Linked DNA regions of Kluyveromyces lactis. The protein of the gene in region 2 interacts with the protein of the main gene of each other region in a pairwise test. Links are inferred from orthologs where the notes say so. Each region holds a gene or a part of one and is shown on either strand. Other genes may lie near its edges.

Evidence for each region.
Region 1: the proteins of ATG11 (region 2) and DNM1 interact in a protein complementation assay, tested with the Saccharomyces cerevisiae proteins (2 studies listed by BioGRID, with this or other methods). The link is inferred for Kluyveromyces lactis from reciprocal best matches to the Saccharomyces cerevisiae genes ATG11 and DNM1.
Region 3: the proteins of ATG11 (region 2) and ATG1 interact in binary tests that used the Saccharomyces cerevisiae proteins (3 or more experiments, as listed by UniProt). The link is inferred for Kluyveromyces lactis from reciprocal best matches to the Saccharomyces cerevisiae genes ATG11 and ATG1.
Region 4: the proteins of ATG11 (region 2) and FIS1 interact in a protein complementation assay, tested with the Saccharomyces cerevisiae proteins (2 studies listed by BioGRID, with this or other methods). The link is inferred for Kluyveromyces lactis from reciprocal best matches to the Saccharomyces cerevisiae genes ATG11 and FIS1.
Region 5: the proteins of ATG11 (region 2) and VPS1 interact in a protein complementation assay, tested with the Saccharomyces cerevisiae proteins (3 studies listed by BioGRID, with this or other methods). The link is inferred for Kluyveromyces lactis from reciprocal best matches to the Saccharomyces cerevisiae genes ATG11 and VPS1.

The regions. Positions count from the first base shown.
Region 1 is NC_006042.1:1,187,045-1,191,145, forward strand, and holds DNM1 (dynamin-related GTPase DNM1), read right to left. Parts: upstream 2,810-4,101; coding exon 482-2,809; downstream 1-481. Other genes in the region: H3 histone acetyltransferase RTT109, read right to left, coding at 3,176-4,101. UniProt on the Saccharomyces cerevisiae protein: Microtubule-associated force-producing protein that participates mitochondrial fission. Fission of mitochondria occurs in many cell types and constitutes an important step in mitochondria morphology, which is balanced between fusion and fission.
Region 2 is NC_006038.1:1,057,385-1,061,661, forward strand, and holds the start of ATG11 (autophagy protein ATG11), read left to right. Parts: upstream 1-1,473; coding exon 1,474-4,277. Other genes in the region: POL30 (proliferating cell nuclear antigen), read left to right, coding at 1-386; peptide alpha-N-acetyltransferase MAK3, read right to left, coding at 473-1,009. UniProt on the Saccharomyces cerevisiae protein: Involved in cytoplasm to vacuole transport (Cvt), pexophagy, mitophagy and nucleophagy. Recruits mitochondria for their selective degradation via autophagy (mitophagy) during starvation, through its interaction with ATG32.
Region 3 is NC_006039.1:1,497,783-1,501,776, reverse strand, and holds ATG1 (serine/threonine protein kinase ATG1), read right to left. Parts: upstream 2,819-3,994; coding exon 323-2,818; downstream 1-322. Other genes in the region: KLLA0_C17182g (uncharacterized protein), read left to right, coding at 1-44; GTS1 (Gts1p), read right to left, coding at 3,381-3,994. UniProt on the Saccharomyces cerevisiae protein: Serine/threonine protein kinase involved in the cytoplasm to vacuole transport (Cvt) and found to be essential in autophagy, where it is required for the formation of autophagosomes.
Region 4 is NC_006039.1:696,779-699,152, reverse strand, and holds FIS1 (Fis1p), read left to right. Parts: upstream 1-1,397; coding exon 1,398-1,865; downstream 1,866-2,374. Other genes in the region: YRB2 (Yrb2p), read left to right, coding at 1-286; EFM4 (Efm4p), read right to left, coding at 369-1,067. UniProt on the Saccharomyces cerevisiae protein: Has a role in mitochondrial fission. Has a role in outer membrane fission but not matrix separation. Required for targeting MDV1 to the mitochondria.
Region 5 is NC_006038.1:1,164,421-1,168,301, reverse strand, and holds VPS1 (dynamin-like GTPase VPS1), read right to left. Parts: upstream 2,560-3,881; coding exon 505-2,559; downstream 1-504.

The DNA.
Region 1 (4,101 bases), on a different chromosome or scaffold from region 2:
AAACTTATAATTTTTATATTTAATTTTTAAAATAACTTTATAATTATCATATTTTAATTATATATATTAATTTTTGTTAACTCTAGGTTATTTATAAAATAGAATATTTTTGATTACTACTCTAAAATTTAAATATTAAAGATGTTTTATTGTTCCGAAAATAAAAATATTAATGAAATATTTTGGAAATTTAATAATATTTTTCTGCTTGATTATATTGATGTTTTTGATAAAGGCGTTTCTATGAATCTGGCGTTTATAAGGTACATATTGTTTTCTATGATAGAAAGAGCATCCCTTCCACATCTGAGGTTAAATTCTGACCATTTGGATAATCCAACATCAGTAAATTAGCTTCACGGATAAACGTTAATGCTTTGCATATTCAATACTGTTTTTTTTTTTCTGTATACAAAATATTATCTTCATTTCTATTTACATTTTGAACTTAATAAAATAAAACTTAGGATCCTATCTAGGACTATAGAATGTCTCCGATAATACCTGATGCTTTTTGATAAGTTTCCAAAAGGTTGACGCATTTTTCGCGGTCCTGTGCTAAAGTCTGATCTTCCATCAAGAGTTCATCGAAGAGTGACTCTTTGTAAAGCTTTGTGACTAGTCTATTTTGGACAGATTCTTTTGAATAGTTTACTAGCAAGCACATTACAGCCTTTGGGACCTGATCTTCGATCATCTCTCTAACAATGGAAAAGTATGAGACGATCAATCTTCTAATTAATTCACATTCCAACTCTTCACGTTCGGTAAATTCGGTAGCAGCTTCAGATTTGGTATGGGCATCTGCGCTCTTGTCTTTAAAATCTTGAATTTGCAAATTTTCGATGTCATAAGAATTATCAGAGCCGTTATAATCAATTCTCGAAGAAAGCTTTGTATTGGAACTCTTTTGTTCTTTGCCGAAGAAATAATTCAAGAAGGAATCCTTTGATTGCTTCATATCATTTTCTTCTTCAGAGTCGTGCTCGCTGGTTGCTGTGGAATCAGAATCAAGCTTCAAATCTTGTTCTGTCTCATCTACTGAATCGGATTTCTTCATTTCACGTTCAGCTTGTTGTTGCTCTAACAGTAGCTGCTTCTCATATTCCCTCTGTTTCTGAAGTCTTTCCGTTTGCTTTTTGTTCTTTCTAGCTTCAACAATCTCGGCCATGGCCTCTGTAGCACTTGGGAAATTTGGATGATTTGTGTTAATGTACGCTTTATGAATATCAATCAAACTTTCGACGTAAGAACGAGTTGGTCCCAATCTTTCCCTCAACAGTTCACTGACAACCTCGACTAGCTTACTTTGTAGTTTTGGATATCTTGCTAGCTCAGGAGAGCCACAGTTGTGACATATCTTCATCAATTCTTCATACACCAATTCTACGCAACGTTGAGATGGATCTAGAAGTAATCTGATTTGTGGTTTAACCAATAGATCGAATGCTAATTCTGGAACAAACAATGAAGGTCTTGGCCCAGTTGAGTTTCTTATAGCTGTTCTGATGTCCGTCATTGATAAGTTAGAAGTAGGGTTGATGAAGTTTAGAGATTTCCCGAATAGAGTGTTATAGATGTAATAGATTCTGGCACCACCACAAAGTTCTTTAGTGCTTATTTCCGAGGAAGTACCATCGATGGAAGAAATGAATTTAGTAGCAAATTTATTCATCAATTGCAAAACAAGGCCAGCTCTATTTTCTTTCGTGATAACTTTATCGTCACCATATGTAGCCAATTCTTGTTCGGTTTGTCCGATGAGGGTATTTAATCTGGCTTTGATATCTGGCAATTTATCTCTAATGTGATTCATCAAGACTTGGTTCAATAATTTAGCCAAGTATCTGGTTCCGCATCTAGTTGAAATAGTTCTGTAAACAGGATGTTTTGCAAAGAATTGTTCTTCTGAGTTCAAAGCTTCTTCAACACTTTTGTTTTGTTGGATGTCTTGCTGGGATCTGTTCACCACACCGACAAATCCTAGCTTCAAAGGATACAACTTCCCTGACAAAATATCCAAAGCATTAGTGCCTTGGTCCATAAGATCCAATTTAGTAATAACACCAATAGTTCTTTTCCCATGGGGATCTATCTCTCTGGCCAATTTCAAAGATTCTGAATTAACGAGATCGACATTAGCAGGGGAGATGGCCAAGATGATACAGTTTGGCTTGGCAACATATTCCAAGATCAAATTCTCGATTTGTCTTTCAATATCCGGTGGCTGTTCCCCAATCGGAACCTTAGTGATACCTGGTAGATCCACTAAAGTCAAGTTCAAAACATGCGGAGAATATATTTTCAAGTTGATTGGAATTCTGCTTATTCCCTTCTCTTTCCCTGCAATCCTAGCAGTTTCGTTTTCAATTTCCCTTCTAATTTCAGAAAAGTCGTAGAATCTACGACCTGGAATATGTAAAAACTCACCCCATTCATTCTTTATTTCAGGCTTATAGTTTGAATTCTTTCTCAAATGATCTTCCAAGGTCATTTCCTTCTCCGTGCGGGCATCTGGCTCGTCATTAACCTGTTCAAGTGACGTAGATGAAGAATTGTCATAATTATAAACCAATGGAGAATTCGGATCAATATTATTCAACTGAAGAACTAGAGGACGTCTGGTAACAATACCAGTACCACGAGGTAAGAAATCTCTCCCGACCAACGTTTCCAAGATCGAAGACTTACCAGAAGATTGCGATCCAATAACAGCTAAAACCGGTAGATCCAAACTGTCAATGCCTGCATCGTACATAACATCCTGTAGCTTATTCACCGTAGGAATCAAATCTTCTAGACTTGACATCTTCAGAGTTACTTGTGTACTATACTCCGACCTAATTAACCGTTCTAATAGACTAGTTTAAGGTTAACAGGATCGCATCTAATATCTAACCAATCAAAGATACACTCAAACGCAATATTTAACCATTTCATTGGATCAAATTTCAAATAATTATTCTCAATGCAATAGGTATTTTTTATTATTTATTTATTTATTTTTATTTTTATTTTTATTTTTATTTTTATTTTTATTTGATTTAATTTGTTACATTTTTATTCTCTGTTTGATTTCTGCTGAAAATTGACTTCCAATATAGAGATCCGCTGTGATGTACGCGCAAATTGTCCTGAATCCATTATGTAGTATATATATATCAGCACCGTCACACTACGATTTAGGTTTCCTATGGACACTTAGAGTGTTTATTACGTTAATAGTGTTTATTTCAGGCCGTTTTGTAGTAGCGATCTTGTGGTGGTTTCCAATAACTTTTATCATCTTCGTGGAGTAATGCATGTCAAAAATATCTCGAATGTTCATGTATGCTTCTTCAGCACCTTCTTCAGTGTCATATTCTTCTCCAGTTATGTAGTTCTTCAGATTTTTAAAGTTCTTCTTCGAGGTTGGTATAATTATATCAGTCCGTTCTGGTTCATTGCAACGGCCGATGTATTTTCCTGACACTCCAATGACAGACACAGTTGATCCCAGTCTGAACTCTTGCCTTGCTTGCAATTCTGTCCAGAATGTTAACACATTGACTTTAGAAATTCGTCCATCACTGATCAGATGGTCAAGGAATCTGCCCTTGGGGTCATCAGGGAATAATGGTATCCTGTATAATGCAATGTCTTGCGGACTTTCAGAGAAAATGTCTCCTACGGTCCAATTTTGATATGCTGTGTTTCTCAAATAGTTGGAAATTACTCTTTTCTCTTCTCCCGGTATTTGTAAGGTTGCCTTTGTTTTATTATCGAAATCTTCGACAACTATTTGGTCTACAATCTTTAACCACCATTTGAGCAATTTGTCACCACTTAGGACGTGTTTCCTTGGGTTTTTAGATGAGTTTGAAAACAAATACTGCGGCTCTGCCCTGGTAAAAAGACTTACCTTTGTGACAATTTCCGTCGGAACCGGGAATGAAACGTATAAATCTTGGTCTGGGATTTTAACCCTTGAAGTTATCCCCTTCGAATCCAACGGTCTGTTGGATAATATTTCTAACGCTCTCTGTACTGATGTACTTCTCTTTATAATCTTTGCACCGCTCAGTGCTTTCCTTATCAGCGGTTTTACCGCCCGCAAATAAT
Region 2 (4,277 bases):
TGAAATATGAATCCTATATTACAATGCCATCTGCTGATTTCGCGAAGACCGTACGTGACTTAAGTCAATTGAGTGATTCTATTAACATCTTAGTCACTAAGGATACCATCAAATTCGCCGCAGAAGGTGATATCGGAAGTGGGTCCATTGTTGTGAAACCTTTCACCGATTTGGATCATCCTGAAAGTTCAATTAAAGTTACCATAGAAAAACCAGTAGATTTAAGGTTCGGTGCTAAATATTTAAACGACATCATTAAGGGGTCCTCTCTATCAGATACAATCACTATAAAATTATCGGAAGAAGCGCCAGCCCTTTTCCAATTCGATATCTCAAGCGGTAATTTGCAATTCTATTTGGCTCCAAAGTTCGATGAAGAGGAATGAAATCTCTTTTCGCAATGCTATATATATATATATATTGTGTGTGTATTAAAATGACAATTACTGATATAAAATCAATTCAATTTACTTTAGAGTATGGTGTCGGTAGGAAAGGAATCCATCCCCAGGAATGTGCTTCTCACACAACTTTTCTCTGTAATCGGTAAAATGAGTTTAAACGCATCTCCCTGGTTCAAATAATACCGGAATAATCTCTTCATTCTGATGAAGCCCATATTCTCGTATAAATGCAAAGCAGCTGCATTGCTGCATTCAGTCTCCAACATAATCTCGTCACATTTTTCATCAATCATAGTATCTATAGCTAAGGTAATTAGTTTTTTCGCTATCCCACGGCCTCTATATTGTTTCTCCACTGCTAACATGCCAATGTATCCTCTTAACCGCACTCCATTATGAGTATCGCTCTTGCATACTATACATCCTATGGGCTTACCCGATCCTTCTGCCCATGCCAAATACGTTAGGTTCGGCCATTGGTTTAGGAAAAATCTGTACACGTATATCGAATATGGCTCACTGAGATCCTCATCGATCAATTTCTTGATGGTGGAAAACTCCATGTCATTACTGATATCGAATCGTGTGTACCTTATTTCGACCATCCTTTGCTTAGTTTATCTGCAGTATACTTTCTTATTAATTTTTAATTAGTTATATCAATGAGAGTAGATGCTGCCGAAGCTAGCGAATATAAAAAGCTTTACTTAAAACTGTTTATCTCATCATCTGGAGGTTTAAAACCAAATTTTTATAATAAAAGCATATCAGTCACGTGCTCTTGCTTCACCAAACTGATTCGAAAAAAGATTATATGGACCCCCCGGTAAGTTTTATAGGTGAGAAAACCTGTTACATAGTTTTTCAGTCCCCTGACGTTTATCGGCTCTTATTCCACTTGTTGCTTACGGCTTTAGTACTCCAGATTAGATATATCTCAGCATTTAAAGAATACTCATGATATAGAATCCTGTGAGCTAACACCCCCCATTTCATCATCATTAAATCGACATTGTCCCTTTATTTCTTTCCAAAGTCTTAAGGTTACAATCTGATAATTTTATTAATAATGCCGCCATGCAAGTTGATATGTGCTACATCAGGAGTTTCACACCAATTATCTAATGTTTATTTCCCTAGTTTCTTAGATTTGAAACAGTTTGCAAGTGATACTTTCCAGATACCGCTCGATGACATACTTCTATTGTTACCTTATGGAATGATATTGAAGAAAGCAGGATGGGATTCCAGAAAGCTGCAACAAGAAGGATTGGAAGAAATATACGTATTTGACCGTGGAATATTCAATGAGGAGATCGAGTTTTCCCCAAAGCCAAGGTTCCAACTTTTCAAACCTTTGCCATCGCCGATAAGCGATTCGTTACAGTTGGATAAAAATGTCATTCTACGGAATTTAGGGTGGTTGAAGGCTTTGCAATCAGACGTTGAATTTTTCCAGGACGTTATAAAAGAAACTTATCAAGACGTTCAACGGTTATTAGAGTGTGGTACTGTTATGCTTGAGTATTTGAAAAACTACTGCTATGAAGTGGAGGTGCTGTATAATGGCAACGTTGATTTTCTTAACAAGCTTCACGAAGATGGTGCCTCAAATCAATGGCATTCCTTTTATGATAATATTCTCGGCAATATTAAAGTTTCTAATCAGTTATTATCATCATTTTTCAATTATAGCGAGCTAACAGAGATCGAGGATTCCATTCACCGTCTGGATCGTGAACTAAATGCGAAGTTAAAGGAGTTAAAGAAAAGTATTGATGAATGCTACCAGCAGAGAACACAGTTAATCTCAGATTTAGATGATGTGAAAAAAAATTCAGTTGTCAGTTCTGATGATATGGACAACCAAATGGTTGAACGATTTAAAGAAATGGCTACAGAGATTGAGCTTGTATCAAATCAATATAAAGAAGAGGCTTCTAAAGATGCTTCAAAAGAGAAGTTTGAAACATTCAAAAGTGTACATGTCCCCAAATTACAAACAATTTCGCAAGCAATGTTCAATAAAGCTTCCACGAATTTAGATACAAAAGCTACTGTCCAGCAGAAGTTGCAACAGTTGTACCTTTCCGTTGCAAAATCGCAGATGAGCGTAATAATGGTGAAGTCGGTGTTAACTAAAGACGTTAAGACCAATATGAAGTTTTTGAAGAATGAAGAACTGAAATTATCTCAAGTATTGGATTTGCCTATGTGTTATGGATTGTATTTGATTGAGTTATACAGAGAGCAGCTCTGGACAGACCGTTACTCTCAACTTCGACAACAACATGAATCTTCATTGCAGCATCTTTTGGATGACGAAGTACGACAAAGAAACTCTTGGTACAAAGATTTCCAATGGATAACTCGATTTCTAGATGTTGATAGTTTGCTACCATCATCAGTATACATTCCGTCCATAAGTGATCATAAACAGGTGACATTGTCTCAGATTAAAGATTATATTAATCAACTTGCTTCATTGAACTTAGGTGAACCTACAATTAATTTACTTAAGTCAAAAGTCTCGCAGGCGGAGCTGACAGGCTTGCATTTACCTACAGATTACGCGCTCTCGAAGGACTCGGAGCTTATCATTGAAGGATACAAGGCTCGTATCAAAAAGCTAGAACATTTATTACTTGATGCACAGTTCCATCAGTACGACTCATGGCCAGCTGGCATTCTGAATAAGGAAACTGCAATGGTCCAAATGTTCCGCAATAGTACCGTGAGCACAAAGTTACAGCAAAGTTCAACATTCGATCTCCCAAGTTCCAAACAACAACACGAATCAAATAAAACCTTCGAGGAATTTCAAAACCTGCAAAAGGATATAAGCAAATACTCTGAATTAACCAAGACCCTTGAAACTGAACTTTCAACACTTAAAAGTCAACTTTCCCATATGGAGGTCGAGAAAAATGCTTACAGAGAATCCATGACAAATTTAAACAAAGAATTATCAACGTTGTTGATTGAACGCGAAAACTTCTATTCTGAAATGAATTCTCGTTCGGAGAATTTCAAGAAGCATTTAGGATCCCTCTTTGAGCAAAATGAGGAACTTGTAAGGGAATCTGAAGAATCCCGACGGAAATCCGAGGATTTAAACAAAATGAAAGAAGATCTTCTTGTCAATATGGCAACCCAAGAAGTTCAAGCAGAACAGGAACGGGCTTCCTTGCAAGAAGAAGTTGAAAGTCTTAAAAAAGATCTTAACCAATTGCAAATATCAAAAAGCAAAACAATTGATGCAGAGTTTATCAACTTTAATAAGCAATTGGAAAAAACTTTATATGATGTTTTCCAAGGTAGTATTTTCATTTTGGCGAGTATCGGGTTGTTACTTTCCAAAGATCAAGATGGAAACTTTCAAATTGTTCGCGTCAAAGGTTTAAGAAAAGATCTGGATTCAAGTTTGGCTGATATGAATAGTTCCATGGCAAAAAGTGTAATTGCACAAGAAATAAAGAGTACTTTCGAATCTATAAAGGATCAGATTGACTACAAACCTCATGAAAATTTCATTACCTACATAGAAAAACTATTTGGTAACCAATTGTTCGAAACGTCAGTGATCCGCAGGTTCAATGATATCGAAAGTTTGGCGAAAAAGCTTAGGAAAGAGAACAAGAATAAAAAACTCCTTTTGCAGAAAAGTGCTAGAGACAAAATTACAATATATAACTTCCAACCGGGAGATCTTGCTCTTTTTTTACCAATCAACGATCAGGAATTGCTATTAAATTCTTCAATATCGTCGCTAAATTCTTCATTTTCATCCATTGATTTAAACTCATCTACACAGTCTGTTATGCAACGTCCAAATGTTGTCAAGTCTGATATTGCAGCTAGCATTCTTAACGG
Region 3 (3,994 bases), on a different chromosome or scaffold from region 2:
AACGTACAAACCAAGGCTCCAATAGTACTATAGAGGTCCTTTGAGCGACATTTGAGTTATTTTGTCAAAAGTTGAAACGCTTTATATTTGCATCTCCCGTTTTGTTTCGTATTTGAAGTTTGGAAATTTTTAATTTGGTATTTAATTTATTATAATAAGTCATTCTATTCATAGATATAATCTTATTTTACTACTAAACGATATCGGTATCGTTTCAAAAAAAAAGTAGTAAGTGTTTAATGGAAAAAACCCTAATCCATATATATATAATCATTATATAAAATGTAAATTGTAAAAAACCCAATCCAAAAGATGATCAATCCTAAACCATTTTGGATTTTAGTGCCTTTAACCTATTAGCAATACTTGAAATGTATTTCTTTATCATTTCCTTATCTGATTCGTCTAAGGAGGTGATATTTGATGCATACTCGTCATCATAGACTTCGTTGAATTGAAAATTTTCGTCCAGCAAAATTTCTAACATCCATAATGAAGTAGCATAGGCTAGTTCACAAGTATTGTAATTCCCACTTTCCATTTCCATTCTTGCAGCATTTCTAGATATATCTAAAGCACGATCGTATATTAACTTTTCAACAAAAATTACAGGGTCATCATCTGACCATTGGGAATTTGGTGATGTATTAATAGCATGGAGCTTTAAACGCAAAAATTCAGCCTTGTCTAAGCATTCGTTAAAGCGATCTCTAATCCACTGCACCAAAATGTTTAGCTTCAAAGTGCAGTTTTTACTTTCATTTTCATACCACCATTTTGATGTTAATTTCATTGAAGCAGCTAAAATAGTAAGAGCTTTTAGATAAAGAAGTAAAGATTCGGTGCACAACTTTTTCAACTCGGGGGCCGGTATTTGAGTGTCAACATTGGTGGCTGATGAAATCTTTGTTGTTGCTGAGGTCAAAGTTTGATTAGAAGGTGGGCGGCCTTGATCCAAATCTTCTTCATCCTCTATCGCGCAACTTCCGTTACTTAGACGTTTATCTGACAGTGGGTCATAGTCGGTTGAAGAAGGAGGAGTTGGAAGAATTTGAGAGAATTTCATTTCAGCGAACGAATACATGACAAATGCTTTGGCCGCAAGCGATTCCACTGCAGGAGTTATGTTGGAATCCAACATTTGTTCGCTGAAAGGATTTAGTTTATGATCAGCCCTCAATACTGCATTTTCCGTTAGCTCCTGAAATATCTGAGGATTCAGTAGTGTTTGTTGAGGTGGCGAAGAAGTAGCCTTTGTATTATGTTGATATCCGAAAAGCCTTACAGAAGCTAACCCTAGTGCCTTCGATAACGCATTCGACGGGCTTAATGACGATATCGAAAGCCTTCTCTCCACTAAAGAGGCTCTTCTTCCTCCTGATGCATCGCTAGAAGAAGACGTTCTGTATCTCAAGGGTTTTATAACTTGTGCCCCTTGGTTGTTTGTTATGGGTCCATTATTAGCAAAATCATCAGCCAAAGAATTTACTTCGACAGTTTTCTTCTCCACAACAACATACTCCTTCTCCAAAATCAAATCATTGTAAGAGCTCTTTAGCCTCTTCTGACTTGCAGATTGGTAGCTTTGTTCTGGGTTTTGAGAGTTATCTTCTGGGTGGATCTGTTGATGTGGTGGATGGTTTGTTGCGAGCCTCTCTTTACCTGAGGTTCGCCTAACGCCAGTTTGTACACTAGTGTTCTCGTCAGTTTGAGTTGGTGGTATATGTGCAGATTCCTGCTGCTTTAATGGTTTGACTAGATATTCTGAAACAAACATATTACTTTCAGCGACATCTTTACTCTTGGATTCTAAGTCTGGCTCATACGATTGCTCGTACCTTGTCAAATCTTCTGTCACTACTTCGTTATTGAAAAAATCAGTGAACCCCATACGGGAATCCGGGTCAAAAGTTAGCAACCCTCTTATTAGATTGAACAGTTTCGGTTCAATATAGCAATTTGAGGGCACTGTAATCTCATCGTTGGCCTTTTTAATCTTTTGAAACAACTCGAGATGGTTTGATGCTTTAAAAGGCGGTCTCCCGCAACACATTTCGTATAGCACCGTTCCTACTGACCAAAGATCAGCCTTGGCATTGTATTTTTGATAGTTTAATATTTCTGGAGCCATGTACAATGGTGACCCGCATAAAGTTTCTGCTAGAGAAGTATTAGGCAAGAATCTAGCGAACCCAAAATCCGCGATTTTCAAGATGGGTAAATTGTAGATTCCCACAAACCCCAACTCATGAAACGTCTTCGGATCATTATAATCTAATAACGGTGTGCATAACAATAAATTCTGTGGCTTGATATCTCTGTGTACTAGATTCTTAGATCGCAAAAACTTAAGCGCAGAGGATAGTTGTTGTAAATAGTTTACCACAAGAACCCGATTTAATCCATTATGTTCCGTACTTGGTGGCGGGTAATGTTCAAAAACAGTCTTTATCAAAGGATGCTTGAGCACTAGGTTCTTCCTCTTCTTTATGAAAAACGTTAAATCACCTAGTGCACAGTATTCCATGATCAAATAGAAATCAGATGAAGTCCGCTCACAATCTATTAACCCCACAATATGCGGATGTTTGATCTTCTTTAAAATGGCAATTTCGACCTCCAAATTCTCCAAAAGCTTCTTGTTCTTTAGCTTCGACCTCGACACGGCCTTGATAGCTATGTTTCTCCCATCTCTTAACGATAGACCTTTGTAAACAACCGCGAATGAACCCTTACCGATCTCCTTCTCCACGGAATAGTTTTCTGTCGGCAAACGAATGGCTTTCGCCACAACTTTGTCGTGCGATTCTGAACTCATGCTCAACCGCTTTCCATATGACTACTCAGTGCCAGACCGTTGTCATTCTTTGGCCTCTTTCTTTACAAGGGGGGGCGTTCTTATTTCTTATAAATGGTTTTTAAGGATCAAAACTTAGTTTGTAATAAGTCATTTTGAACTTTATATAGAAATAAAGAAACAAAGAAGGAAAGACAGATATATCGCAGAAAACGTACACAGTAAAGGCAGTGGAAAGACACTGGTGCTTGGTGGAACGGTTTTAAGAAAACGCTCGTTAAGTGCAAATAAGATATGATTGGTTATGAGTCAATGGGAGGTTTTTTTTTTGATGGTCAGTAAGATAATAGTGGTGATAGCTAGGTAGTAAGTAGATCGTGGATGTTCCGGATAAGAGTGTATAGCAGACGTTGTGAAACGTCAGAGGAGGAAGACAAAGTTAGATATTAGTTGTAGCGGTGTTTTGGTTTTAGCCATATTTACGTATTATATAGGCAAACATAGGTATGAGAGATTAAACCGTAGTGCGGTAGCAGATGTGCAGTTGCAGCTGCAGCTGCAAAGAAGGCCAAGGGATGATGATCTATTGGAATGGGGGGTAGAATTGTTGTTGGTACTGTTGTGGTTGTTGGTATTGCATTTGTTGTAACTGTTGTTGCTGCAGGAGCTGTTGCTGTTGCTGCTGTTGTAGCTGCTGTTGTTGTAGCAGTTGCTGTTGCTGCTGTTGTTGGTCCTGCTGTTGTTTTTGGAGATTCAGGATCTGTTGGTATTGTGGATTATCCGGTTTGATTTCTACGGCACTAGAATATAAATCTGGTCTTTGATACAGTGATAATAGTGTGTTCTTATCTATCGATGGTTGAGCAGTGAATTGAGGCTGTACCTGTTGGGTGAACTGAGGTTGTAATTGCTGTGTGAATTGGGGTTGCACTTGTTGTGTAAACTGAGGTTGAACCTGTTGTGTAAACTGAGGTTGAACTTGTTGTGCCAATGCTTGTACCTGGGCCTGCTGCATTGCCGCATAGGAGTTTTGATCTACATAAATTTGGCCGGTAGTTGGATCATAGTATTGTTGTACCCCATCGAATACTGCTGGGCGAGGTTCTGCCGATGCTGTACTAGGTAGGCTTGGTTCACTTGTTCCATCGAAAACGGCTTCTTGCACTTTGTTGTCCGGCCTTTTTGGAAGCGGAGGTC
Region 4 (2,374 bases), on a different chromosome or scaffold from region 2:
GGAAAGAGGAATTGGTGTTCTACATTTAAATAAAGATGAAGTTTCAGAAAAGTCGAGAATAGTAATGAGATCCCGTGGGTTATTGAAAGTAATATTGAATCTACCGCTTGTAAAAGGATTTTCTATTAAAAAAGGGTTCCCAGGTTCTCTGAACGGAGAAAAGTTCGTCAGAATATTAGCAGTTGATGAGAACAAGAATCCTGTCCAGTATGCCTTAAGGACAGGAAAAGCTGAAATAGCAGATGAGTTATATGAGAAAGTAAATGCTCATATCCTGGAGAATTGAATTGGACATATTACTTCTGATTCAAACAGACTTTGTAAAATTGACACTACTTAAAACCTTTTGAATAATACCTTAATTAAGATTATTTAGCAGAAGATTTGAGAAAGGCAACGCTGCATATTGTAGTTCCTTTGACACCACCGAACTCAAATATTGGATAGTTTACCGATTTCCATTTTTTCAACGTCTCTGTTTCAATAATCTTTATGAGTTCCTCTTCTGTAAAATTGCATGATGTAATCAACAGAATACTGTTTTCGCCTAATATCTTCTCTATCACTTTCGGATAGACATCTACCACGGTTTCATTGTTTTCAAATTTTATACCGCTTAATGCGATGGCATCTAGTGTACCTTTATCTAGAACGACATCGAATTTACCTGGGGCCCATTGTTCATTGAATATATCTGCCGTAGCAAAAGTTACGTTATCATTTTGGCTGTATTTAGTCTTGAGAATCTCAGCAGCAAACTCGACTGATTTTTCAGAGTAATCTACACCGATCATTTCACCTTTGAAACCTTCCTCCAATAGAGTGAACAAAAGATGACCATTTCCAGTTCCGAGATCAATCATTGAGCTGTCTTCTTTGATATTGTATTCGCCCAAGTTATCTAGTAGAAATTCGACCATTTTCTCCTCTGCATCGTTATCAGCGAACCAGCATTCTCCAGTATCCTCAGGGTTCTCCTCGAAGTTTTGTTTCTCTAATGAGTAGAAATCGTCCCAGTATTCCTTAGTTCCCAACTTAGAAGTATTCAATTTTGTTGTATCTTCCATGTTTCTAGTGTAAGTTTTCTGGACAAAAATGAACCAACGGATAAATTACCGCAATTATCAGTGTTGATATTTGGAACGGAACTTCAATTGCTGATCTTATTGCGATGCCTCTGTACCAATTCTCAGAGATGACTTTCTGTATATATTTGTATATAATCAAAACGTTTTCGAGATGTCTAGCGGACGTAAGAAAAATAAATTGAAAAGTTAAAACTGATAATTTGACATTGAATTTGAAACAATATCATTAACAACATCTGAAACGATCGAAGGTAGCAGTTATTTCTTTATCTTGAAATCACTCGCACAAGCTCAAAAAAATACTGCGGTATGACTAACATCCACTACCTTCCTGAATTGGAGGATTCATATTCTGCATTAAACAGCGATCAAATCGAAATTTTAAGGCAACAGGTGCTCAATGAAGGGGGCGAAATATCATCTATTCAATCACGCTTCAATTACGCCTGGGGTCTCGTCAGATCGACGAATAAGGAAGATCAGATGTTGGGTGTTAAGTTATTGACGGACATATACAAAGAATCTCCAATGAGAAGAAGAGAGTGCTTATACTATTTGACCATCGGATGTTACAAACTCGGCGAATACTCTACTGCAAAGCGGTACGTGGATGCACTAGTGCATCATGAACCTGAAAACAAACAAGCATTGATGCTACAAACCGCTGTAGAAAACAAGATCACTTCTCAGGGATTAAAAGGGATTGCCTTGATCAGTGCAGGAATCGCCATCGGCGCAACCACCATCGGCCTCCTTATCAGAGGCAGAAGGCGCTAACAAATTTCTTTCCTCCACTACATTCTCAAGAATAGAAATATAATCTCCAGGGAATATCCTGTCACCCATATTACTCGCTTGTAAATAATGTTATATGTATGTCCCTATCAATCTAATGAAATAATCTGCTAATGATCAAAATATATTCGAACTTGTGAATCTTCAATTCATGAATTGCATCACAAAGTTTACATTAAAAGATGAAATGTAGTTACAAAAGTGAGAACAACGAAGAAGTGAAATGTTTCTGTTACAATTGCTAGTAATGATGGATACATAGGAAGAATTGTTTCCATTGGACCAAGTACTGCCCCACAGTTCTAGTGGCCTTCGCCTTCGCCTTGGGTAAAGGCATTGGTATCGTATCACGTGACCATAGGAAATTTCCAGATTACCAAATCAGTATGATGGTCTCTCCTCCTTACTAACTGGCGGTATCACGTAGTCTTCCATTAAATAGTAACAAACAACAACAACCGAGTCTAATTCTGTCCAGTTTGCCGCAATTC
Region 5 (3,881 bases), about 110 kb from region 2:
GTAAAAAAAGTGAGAACATTTATCATAAATTGGAATAGTTCACTGTCGATAAAATTCAATATTAGAGATCATAACAGCATCCTGCAATCTATTAGTTAAGAGGCTTATCATCTATTTCCTGGTTGAAAATGTTTAAAGATTTGATGAGTCTTCGTAATTTTCATTCAAATAACTGTGAATCACTGTGAATCAAGACAATATACATTGAGCGTTAGCATGGCCAATATTTGTCACCAAAAAATTACTAGCTTTAGGAAAATAGGATTTGAAAATGTTACATGCCAATACAGAATAATAGCTAAGTTAATAGAACGAAACATACATTTAATTCGGAAGCAAGATAACGATGACAAAAAAAAAATTAATAATTCTGATATTCTTTATCAATGATATATATCACTATTTATTTCACTAATCTATAGGCAGAGCAGCCAGAGAAAAAAAAAAGAGGAAATGAAATGGAGGGAAAAACAGTTTCAATTTATAAATACAAGCACTTAATATTCAAACGGATGAAACAATCTCACTAGCATGAGTTAGAATATTGACCATCTTTTGACATTCTTTCCTTCTTTGGGTAGTCAAATCACTTTCCTTCGTTAGCTCGTCAAGATTTTCGCTGCTGTATAATTTCTCAAGTAGAATCTTTTGAATGTCATTTTTACTCTTAACGATTAATTTTAGCATAACAGCCTTTGGAATGAAGTCTGCCACGGATCTCTTGACGATGCTGAAATAGCTGTCGATAAGTAATTTAATAACTTCCGTTTCAAGTTTTTCCCTTTCAGTCATTTGACCAGTGGCTTCTAAAACATTTGGTGGATTTTCCAAAACAGAAGCTCTAGTCTTACTCTTCGATGAGAAGAAACCACCAAAGAAACCAGATGGTCTAGTTTCTTCGGCTTTTACAGGTTGAGCAGCAATCGGTTTACCGGTCTTTGGATCCACTTGGCGTGGATGTAGTCTTTCTTCAACCATAGCCATTGCTTGAGAGCCCTTTAATAGGTCTGGATGAGCTGTATTGATATAAGTTTGTTCAGATTTTATGATGTCGACGACAAAGTCATTAGTTGGAATGACCGCCTCTTTCAGGAATTGAACGAAGTTATTCGAGATAGCATCTCTTAGGCTTGGGTATCTGCTGTATTTTGGTTGGTTGATAATCTGCTTTAGTATACGGACCAATTCATCGAAAACTAAGTTGACCAAACGTAAAGAAGGTTGTTCGAACCTACTAATTTGCTTCTTCACCAAGACTTCAAATGCTTCGGTACCCACAAACAAAGAAGGCGCTGAACCAGAACAATTGTACATAATAGTTCTGATATCGGAGTCCTTAATTTGATCGAATGGATCCAAGGCGTAAACACCATTCTTGAAGATTTCATGGAACACAAACGAGACTCTAGCACCACCTGATAGTTCTTTACTTGTAAGCTCCCTTGCTTCACCATCCAATATACCTGTGTATTCCTTTGAGAAGTCTGTGATCATGCTTAGCACGATGGAACTGGAAGATGATAGGGATTCTGGACCCAAACTTAACAATTCAGTTTGATATTTCTTCAAAGTGACCTCAATCTTATGTTTAATATCTGGCAACGTTTGTCTGATGTGATGCAATAGAATAGAATTTAACTTCTTAGTTAAATATGGGGTACCACAGTACAGTGCTCTTGCACTGTACGATGGATGGTTCTCAAAGAAACGTTTTTCGTCCTCTAACGCAGATCTAATTGTTTTATTCTTTTCGATATCTTTTTGACCTCTATTGATTACTGGGATATAACCAAATTTCAATGGGATAACTCTTCCGGCCAAAATATCGATGACATCTGTACCTTCATCCATCAAATCGACTTTAGTTAACACACCGATGGTTCTTGATCCATCGGGATCGACTTCCCTGGCCAATTTCAAACCATCACTGTTAGCCAAATCAGCATTAGCTGGGTTCACTGCCAAGATAATAGCGTTAGGTTTCTTGATGTAAGTCAAGATCATATCCTTGATTTGTCTTTCGATATCAGCTGGTTGATCACCAACAGGGACCTTGGTCAAACCGGGCAAATCGACCAAGGTTAAAGTTAGCACATGTGGCGAATATACTCTTAAAGTGATTGGAACCGCAGAAATCCCTGCATTCTTCCCGGTACTCTTATCGGTCTCCAAAACGATCTCTTTTCTAATTTCGTTAAAGTTGAAAAGCTTTTTACCGGGCAAATGACCAAACTCACCCCATTCTTCTGCATTGTCTTCATTTTGACCACCATTGGCTGCACTGTTATCCAAATCTAACAGCTCTTCTGTAGCATGCTTAGTCTCCTTCTTGACCCTACGGTTGATCAATTGTAAGATCAATGGTCTTCTGGTAACAATACCGGTACCACGAGGCAAGAAATCTCTACCGACAATGTTTTCCAACACAGAAGATTTACCAGAACTTTGAGAACCAACAACGGTAATTTGTGGTAAATCAATCGGAGTCTGAGAACCGCCGCCTAATGGAGCCAAAGCATCCTGTAACTTATTGATCGTAGCAATCAAACGTTCATCCATGTTGCCAGTTTATTTACTCACAGTATTGGGCTTGATCTCAATTACAATTACAAATTGAGAATTCAAAATATATCTCTGACCTAACCGATTAACTTTGGATGTAGTAAAGGTATATATAAAAATAAATCTCTCTAGATATTTGGAATATCTCTCTCGAGTTGACTAGAATTGATTTTGATTTGATGTTTTTCTTGTTTTTCCCCTTTTTCGCCACCAAAAGTTAGAAAAAACCAAGTATTACCCGGAAATGGTTAGATCTGCCAATCTAACTGGATCCAGATCGTATCCAATAGATAGCACAGTCAGTGAGCCTATTTAGCCAGTAGCCTCTTATTCAAATTAACGGGGAGAAGAGTTTCCAAACGAACTACAAGGGCCCATATAAAGGCCGACTTTCACTGTCAATGGGATAGTTTTCTTGTTTTTTTCGGATGCCGTTACAGATCTACACACGAAATACAAAGGTTTTGTAATCATCAAATATCTTGATTCTTCCATATCTGGATTTTCGTTTATATATATGCATATACTTCCAATTGAATTATTGTTGGATAAGATTTACAGGAAATTGAACATACAATTTGCAAATTCAAGCTCGCTCATTCTTATGATTGGGGTCTTTCACGTAATTATTGATTTTTCCTGGGTCTTGAAATCGATTTTGAATTTTTCTGGCTTTAAAAATTTAGTACAAAATGAAATAATATAACAAAGTGTGAACTTTTGAACTTACTATACCTTTTATTTGGTTTGAGTGTGTGAACAGGAGAAGCTAAAGTTAAAACCAACACTACATATCCCTTTGGTCCAAACTTGCCAGTACCTTCAAATTGAACTTCTTAATTCTTTCATTCGCTGGACACTCCTGAGACAGAATTGGTAAAGGAAAGAAATAAAGGGAAACGGAATTCTCAGACAATACAATATTAACTGGCTGATTTTTTTGTCTACACACATATACACACAGTCTCTCTCTATCTGAATATAACTGGATAGTTTGTGCTAGTTACGTTTTTAGTTCAAATTAGTGACGAGCACATCTTTTGATATTGGTCACCTGTTACCAACAACAACAACAACAAAAGAAGTTAGTGTCAGACTCACAAATACTGAAAAAAGCCTTTGCATTGGAACTTTGGTGTATTAACTCTCGGAGATTATACACATCCGACACTTATTTGATTATCCTCATCACGAATTAACTTGTGAGGAGTACTTTTGACGGTTCTTTCTGATCTAGGAAGACGTAGCAAGTCAAAACTCATTCAGGTTGTCGACTTCAGTACAAGACGCACAGGTTTTCAAGGACACTTACGATAATT